2 linked regions of the Macaca fascicularis genome follow. The protein of the gene in region 2 purifies or fractionates together with the protein of the main gene of each other region. This does not show direct contact. Links are inferred from orthologs where the notes say so. Each region holds a gene or a part of one and is shown on either strand. Other genes may lie near its edges.

What was found.
Region 1: the proteins of STK11 (region 2) and COPS3 purify together in Homo sapiens (affinity purification with mass spectrometry; 5 studies listed by BioGRID and IntAct, with this or other methods). This does not show direct contact. The link is inferred for Macaca fascicularis from reciprocal best matches to the Homo sapiens genes STK11 and COPS3.

Annotation. Positions count from the first base shown.
Region 1 is NC_088390.1:17,359,550-17,363,355, forward strand, and holds part of COPS3 (COP9 signalosome complex subunit 3), read right to left. Parts: intron 3,778-3,806; coding exon 3,598-3,777; intron 594-3,597; coding exon 453-593; intron 1-452. UniProt on the Homo sapiens protein: Component of the COP9 signalosome complex (CSN), a complex involved in various cellular and developmental processes.
Region 2 is NC_088393.1:1,784,412-1,788,670, reverse strand, and holds the start of STK11 (serine/threonine-protein kinase STK11), read right to left. Parts: upstream 2,849-4,259; 5' UTR 1,703-2,848; coding exon 1,413-1,702; intron 1-1,412. UniProt on the Homo sapiens protein: Tumor suppressor serine/threonine-protein kinase that controls the activity of AMP-activated protein kinase (AMPK) family members, thereby playing a role in various processes such as cell metabolism, cell polarity, apoptosis and DNA damage response.

The sequences.
Region 1 (3,806 bases), on a different chromosome or scaffold from region 2:
TCACACCACTGCACTCCAGCCTGGGTGACAGAGTGAGACCCCATCTCAAAAAAAAAAAAAGAAAGAAAACAAAATAAAGGCCAGGCTCAGTGGCACACACCTGAAATCCCAGCACTCTGGGAGGCAGAGGCAGAAGGACTGCTTGAGGCCAGGAGTTCAAGACCAACCTGGCCAACATAGCAAGACTCTGTCTCTGGGGGAAAAAAAATCAACTATTACAGGAGCTTAAACATCTATAGCTGTAAGTACATAGAGTACAAGTTTGAAAACGGGTTCCTGAGAAATATTTCATCCCAATCAGGCAATGAGAATGTCTGCTAATCTGAAGCTGTTAGGAGAACTAAATCACTATAAAACCAAGTTACAGAACTGTATCATTGCAATTTCTTGATATACTCAACATGCTCACATAAGAAATCAGTTTTATGTTAAAAAAAAAAAAAAAAACTTACCTTAATGAATCTACCCACAATTTGAGATGTGTATTTTGGTAGCTGTTGTACTTTGCCAAGTAATATCAAAGACACTAAAATATACTTTTTATATGATTCTAACATGATATGACTGACCGCCATGGCAGGAGTAGTTATAGCCTAGGCAAAAGAAAAATGCTTACTGTAAAGAGAACATACCACAGTAGCAAACAGCAATCAACCACATGTATCACATTAATTATAAAGCAGTAATACTTTTTAAACGTCCCATTATTTTTATAACAGCCTTGAGATATAATTCATTTTATTTTATTTTTATTTATTTATTTTTTAGAGACAGGGTCTCGCTCTGTCATCTAGGTTGGAGTGCAGTGATATAATTATGGCTCACTGCACCCTCAAACTCCTTGGGTTCAAGCAATCTTCCTGCTTCAGCTTCCTGAGTACCTGCGACTACAGGCATGGGCCACCATGCTTGACTAATTTTAAAATTTTTGGGCCGGGCGCGGTGGCTCAAGCCTGTAATCCCAGCACTTTGGGAGGCTGAGATGGGCAGATCACGAGGTCAGGAGATCAAGATCATCCTGGCTAACATGGTGAAACCCTGTCTCTACTAAAAAATACAAAAAACTAGCCAGGCGAGGTGGCGGGCACCTGTAGTCCCAGCTACTCGGGAGGCTGTGGCAGGAGAATGGCGTAAACCCAGGAGGCGGAGCTTGCAGTGAGCTGAGATCGGGCCACTGCACTCCAGCCTGGGTGACACAGCGAGACTCCGTCTCAAAATAAAATAAAATAAAATAAAAAATAAAATAAAATAAAATTTTTGGCCGGGCACGGTAGCTCATGCCTGTAATCCCAGCACTTTGGGACGCCGAGGCAGGCAGATCACGAGGTCAGGAGATCAAGACGACCCTGTTTAACATGGTGAAACCCCATCTCTACTAAAAATATAAAAAATTAGCTAGGCATGGTGGTGGGCACCTGTAGTCCTAGCTACTCGGGAGGCTGAGGCAGGAGAATGGCATCAACCCGGGAGGTGGAGCTTGCAGTGAGCCGAGATCGCGCCACTGTACTGCAGCCTGGGTGACAAAGCGAGACCCCGTCTCAAAAAAAAAAAAAAATTTTTTTTGTAGAGATGGGGGTCTCACTATGCTGCTAAGGCTGGTCTTGAACTCCTGAGTTCAAGCAGTCCTCCCACTTCAGCATCCCAAAGTGCTGGGGGATTACTGGCATGAGCCGCCACGCCTGGCCACTTTCTTGTCTTTTTATTTTTGAGGTGGAGTCTTGCTCTGTCACCCAAGCTGGAGTGCAGTGGTGTGATCTTGGCTCACTGCAACCTCCATCTCCTGGTCCAAGAGATTATCCTGCCTCAGCATCCCGAGTAGCTGGGATTACAGGTGCCTGCTACCACGCCCAGCTAATTTTTGCATTTTTAGTAGACATTTTCACCACGTTGGCCAGGTTGATGTTGAATTCCTGACCTCAGGAGATTTGCCTGCCTCGGCCTCCCAATGTGCTGGGATTACAGGTGTGAGCCACCATGCCCAGCCTCTTGCTCTGTTTTTTTTTTTCTTTTGAGACGGAGTTTTGCTCTTGTTGCCCAGGCTGGAGTGCAATGGTGTGACCTCGGCTCACTGCAACCTCCGCCTCCTGGGTTCAAGTAATTCTCCTGCCTCAGCCTCCTGAGTAGCTAGGATTACAGGCATGCACCATCATGCCCGGCTAATTTTGTATTTTTAGTAGAGATGGGGTTTCTCCACGTTGATCAGGCTGGTCTCCAACTCCCAACCTCAGGTGATCCGCCCGCCTTGGCCTCCCAAAGTGCTGGGATTACAGGCATGAGCCACCGCACCCTCCCCTTCTTACCTTTTTAAAACACACATCATCTTGATATTTCAAGACCAGTTTGCTCATGAATTACTATATTTGGCTACAGCAATGATAATGCATCGAGTGGCTATGAAGTACATTTTTATAATTTTCTGAATGTGTAGTCTTAAAGAGAAGTCACCTTGAAGATTTGACCTGACTAGACACATGCTTTAATGACACCATTTCCGCCTACTGGCACCTTATGGTGGCCCTTCTCAGGTCCCCTCAACAGGGCACATCAACCACTCATTATGGTATGGTTCAGAGCCACGGATGTGTGTACGTGTGTGTATTATGTATTAGAATTCCAACTAAACTGAGCTCCCTGAAGGTTTTAAATATCCTTTATTAACACATGCTATGAACTAAAAAGGAAAGTATGAACATCTAGCTAATTTACCTTAAGACAACGGGTTTTGGGCCGGGCGCGGTGGCTCAAGCCTGTAATCCCAGCACTTTGGGAGGCCGAGACGGGCGGATCACAAGGTCAGGAGATCGAGACCATCCTGGCTAACATGGTGAAACCCCGTCTCTACTTTAAAAATACAAAAAACTAGCCGGGCGAGGTGGCGAGCGCCTGTAGTCCCAGCTACTCGGGAGGCTGAGGCAGGAGAATGGCATGAACCCGGGAGGCAGAGCTTGCAGTGAGCTGAGATCCGGCCACTGCACTCCAGCCTGGGCGGCAGAGCGAGACTCCGTCTCAAAAAAAAAAAAAGAAAAAAAAAAAAAAAGACAACGGGTTTATTAATCAATATTGTGTATCTCTTTTTCAAAGTCTGAGTAAAGCTCCAGAATAGTCTACCAAATTGTGTACTATGTTTCATTACACAGACACAGAAAGGGTGGGAGGGACTATTACTGTGTACTCCTCTATACCCTTTAAATTTTGAATCAAGAGAATGTTTCACTGAGTAAATAAAACTTAACAAAATACCACACATGGTTTTAGAATAAGACACATCCAAGATCATTCAGTTCAATCTCTTCCTTATATGCAAAGGAAGCTATAAAGGTCAAGAGATGTCATAACTTATCCCAAATCAGATAAGATATAAGTGCAAGCCTAGATTAGAACCCACCCACAAGTGCTCTTCTATGCACTGGCACTGCTCCTCAACTTAGGGATCAGGTTACCACCATTTACCTGATGACAGAGAAGCAGTCTCTGAAAGGACCACCACCTGAAACGGAGGCCCCGGGATCAGTCCACTCTAGCCACAAACCTATGGGATCACTTTTTTGATCACATGAGTTCAGAACAACCTCAGCTAATTTTTAGAGAAATGATTACCTGTTCATAAAAGTAGAGAGCTCTTTCAAAGTTCTTCAGCCCAGTATAGATCATTCCTCCATAATAATAGTAACATAAAAAGTGCTTTGCATCATAGGCTCCATTCTCTTTACAGATATCCATCATATCCACATCAAGATATGGAAGGGCAGGCTTAAAGCATTTTGCTAGCAAACAAAGCTGTGAACAAATTGATATTAAATCATCAC
Region 2 (4,259 bases):
TTCAGAGCCTGTGTCCCTGGTTTCTGCATGTCACAGCCCGCATGCTGATTAAGAAGCGTGTTGGCTAGTTGCGGTGGCTCACGCCTTTAATCCCAGCACTTTGGAAGGCTGAGGCGGGTGGATCACAAAGTCAGAAGTGCAAGACCAGCCTGGCCAAGATGGTGAAACCCTGTCTCTACTAAAAAAAAAACAAAAAATACAAAAATTAGCCAGGTGCAGTGGCAAGCGCCTGTAATCCCAGCTACTCGGGAGGCTGAGGCAAGACAATCACTTGAACCCAGGGGGCGGAGATTGCAGCGAGCCAAGATCGCACCACTGCACTCCAACCTGGGCAACAAGAGCGAAACTCTGGTCTCAAAAAAAAAAAAAAAAAAAAAAAAAGAAGTATGTGAGCCCCAGGGCCCCTGAGCAGGAGGGAGGTGAGAGCAGACAGGGCAGGGGCCCCTCCCCAGACCTCCTTCCAAGGTCATGGTGCCCTGTGCAGGGTGTCCCTGCCAGTCCCTCGAGGCCTAGCCCAGTAGATAAGGTCCTTTCTTGGAAACAGGAGGCAAAGTTATGAAAGTTAAGAGGGCTGGGAGAGGGGCAGGGCCTGGGCAGGGCCCGCCAGGCGACGGCAGGTGCAGCGTGTCTGGTTGCGATAAGGAAGGGACACCCCCCCCCCCACCAGCTGGGAGAGGCTCAGGCCGGCCCGTGCTGCCCTCGGTAGGAGCTTCTCCGCGCACAGATGCAGAGGCGTCCGGGATGCCCAGCGGCAGCCCCATGCCTGAAGAAGTCAGTTTGAAAAGTAAGGTCTTCCGGATGCAATTCGGGAGGGAGGCACAGTCCTCCTCGGGCAGGGCTGCCAGCGCTGGGGGCCAGGGATGCTTCCAGCGTCACATCCCTGGCAAATGAGGAAAGGCTACGTTTCCCTCCTGCTGGCTGATAAGCCAGTGCAGTTATTTTTGGCAGCCCAGGGTTCCCCTCCGACAGGATAAACAAATCACATTTTCTCCTGGCCCCGGCAACCGCCACACATTGCGCACAAAACCTGCTGGCGGCCGCACACAAACTCTCGGCGCCCAAATAAACACAGGCTCATTCCACTGGGCGCCTCTGCTCCTTGGACAGCTGGGGGAGCCACGGGGCTAGACTTAGGGGATTGGGGGCCGCTCCCTTCTCAGGAGGGTTTCGCTACCAGGGCGTCCATGCAGAAGAGCCCAAGCAAACACACGCCCCGCTACGACAACTGGCTCTGCCTGAGTGAAAGTCCGTAACGCAGGCCTCCGACCAAGCTCTCCCCGGCACGGAGGACACAGGCGCCGGCCGGGTCCAGCTTTGGGTGTTAAGAGGAAGTAAGGGAGGGAGGGAGGAGAGAAGGAAGGAAGACAGAACCATCCGCACAGTGACTGGCCTGCCCGGCAAGCCGTACTTACTTTTTCACGTTGGCCTCCCCGTTGGGGATCCTTCGTAACTTCTTCTTCTTGAGGATCTTGACGGCCCTCCTGCACAGCGTCTCCGAGTCCAGCACCTCCTTCACCTTGCCGTAAGAGCCTTCCCCCAGCAGGTCCCCCATCAGGTACTTGCCGATGAGCTTGGCCCGCTTGCGGCGCGGCTGGTAGATGACCTCGGTGGAGTCGATGCGGTGGATGAACGTGTCCATGCCCACCGACATCAGCTCGCCCTCCGTGAACATGCCCAGCTGCTGCGGGTCCACCACCTCCATGCTGGACCCAGGGTCCTGGAGTCCCGCCGCCAGCCCTGAGTCCGCGGGTGAGCGGTCCTTGTGTTCCGACTTCCCTTCTCCAAAATTTTACAAAGAAAAAAGAAAGAAAAAAAGGCAACAAAAACCCCAAAAGGAAGGGAAAAACCCTTCTTCCAACAGAAACGATTGTCCTACACGTCAGTCCCGGCTGCGAGTCCGAGCCCGGTGCAGGGTCTGCAGACCCGCGGGCACCGGGCGTCCGGGACGGCGGCTCAGACGCGAGTTGCAGTGGGTCCCGGGCCTCGGAACTGGGGAACGGCCCAGTCGGGGTCAACTTTGTCCTCGGAGGCCCTGGGGAGGCCGGCCGGGGCTTCTCAGTACTAGGTCATCCTCCGGGGACCTCAGGCCCACGGACAAGCGTGAACACGGCCAAGCGCGGTCTTCTCCGGGCCGCCCATCCCACAGGCGGCGTCCGCGACGTCGCTGCCCCCCGGGACCCCCACACCTGGAGAGCCCAACTTCCCTGGGGGTGTCTCCGGCGACGCCCGGGTCCCGCCGCCTGTCCCAGCCGCAAACGCTCCGCCGCGGACTACCGAGCGGACCTCCCGGGAGGCGCCGACTCCCGACGGCCCAGGCGAGCGTTCGGGGGGGGTGGGGGCGTCCGGGCAGCCTCCCGCCGCGGCCAACAGCTCCGCTCAGGGCTGGTCGCTGCCCGGCGCCCGCGAGGGCCCGCACTGGGCACCCCCCGAGCCGACCCGCGACCCCCGCGGTGGTCGCCGGGGCCAAGCAGGCGCCCCCTCCCCGCAAACGTCTGCCCGAGCGCGCGCCCCACCCCGAGTGCCCTCAGCGTCCGGTCCGCGGGACGGCGCGGCGGCGGGGGCTCCACGGGGCCCCGGGCGGCCGAAGCGGCACAGGCCGCAGGCTCCGGGGCGGGGGGTTCCCGAAGGTGCCGGGCCCCGGGCGGCGTGTCCCCCTCGCCGCGGCCGCCGCGCGTGTGGAGGAGGCGGAGCGGCGAGGGGGGCCCAGCCCATCCAAGGCCGCGGCAGCAAGTTCCGCCGCCCGCGCTCCCTTCGCCGCCCCGCGCCTCACTCGCGGGCGCTCCGGGCCGCCTCCCCCTTCCGCGCTCGACACGCCGCCGCCATCTTGTTTACCTCCCTCCCCCTCCCTGCGCCGCCGCGGACGCCGCACGCCCGGCCGCAGGACACGCCTCCTCGCGAGGACGACGTGTCCACCCGTTGGCTGAACCTGCAATCCCCGCCCCCCCTTCCCGCCCCACCGCCGCTGAGGATTGGAGCGTTTGGACCCGGCCGGGCGCCCGAACGGGGATTGGTCCGCGCTTGGCCCCGCCCGAGGGGTGGATACGGCCCGCTCATCGGCCCGCGGAGACGCCCGTCAGGGGCAGGGGGCGGGAAGCAGGCATAGGGAGGGGAGGCCACGGCTGCGACCTCAGAGGGGCTGGGGACGGGGGTCGTAGGTCACCGGTGCCAACGGCCTCGCTGAACGGCCGCGGGGAGGGCTCAGCCTGGTGGGCGAGAACTTGGGCTCGCGGACCTGGAAGGAGCGGGGCCACCCCAGCCAGAGCCCCTCCCCCGGATCCCCCTTTGGGGGGAGGTCAAGGGTCAAAAAGTAACCCAAAGTGGCCAATTCCAATCAAAAATCCTTGTTTTAAGGCTCTCTTGGGCCAGGGGAGAGAGAAACTCTCAGGGCGGCCTCTACCCTGTCGGAACTCATGGGGGAAGCCTCAGGACAGCGCTGGGACGAGCCCAGCGGGGGCTTCTGGTGAAAAACAAGAGTTGCCAAAATACGGCTTGATAAGGTTGAAAATATTGAACCCTCCTGTGCTAGCCCCGTGCTTTCCACCTTTTCCTGCACTAGCGCCACGTTGTTTTGCTGGAACAAATTATCTTGCTGCAACCTCCGCCTCCTAGGTTCAAGCGATTCTCCTGCCTTGGCTTCCCGAGTAGCTAGGATTACAGGCGTGCGCCATCATGCCCGGCTAATTTTTGTATTTTTAGTAGGGATTACAGATGCACGTCTGTAATCCCAACTACTCAGGAGGCTGAGGCAGGAGAATCGCTTGAACCTGGGAGGCGGAGGTTGCGGTGAGCCAAGATCATGCCATTGCACTACAGCCTGGGCAACAAGAGGGAAACTCCGTTTCAAAAAAAAAAAAAAAAAAAAGGTCTCTCCCAGAAAACAGAAGATGAGTAAACACTCCCCAGCCCAGACTTATTTTCATATCTGTTTTCTGGACTGATAGCTGGCTCATGCACAAACTTCTTGGAATCTGGGGATATGCTGGATAACTGTGGCATCCGTAGGTCCCACGCCCCTTCAGAGAATTGCAGGACACATGGAACTGACTCAGGAAATACTTGGTGGCCATTATAGAAAGAAGCCTTGAAGATGAATTCTTGGCTCAAAAGCCACCTCCTCCAAGAACCCCTCCTAGTGATTCTCTGAACTGCCTGGATGGAGATGTGCTGTGTAAACTACACACGGAATTTCTTTTCTTTTTTTTTTTTTTTGATATACATAATTTTATTACAAAATTTTTTAAAATGCAGCATCCTAAAAA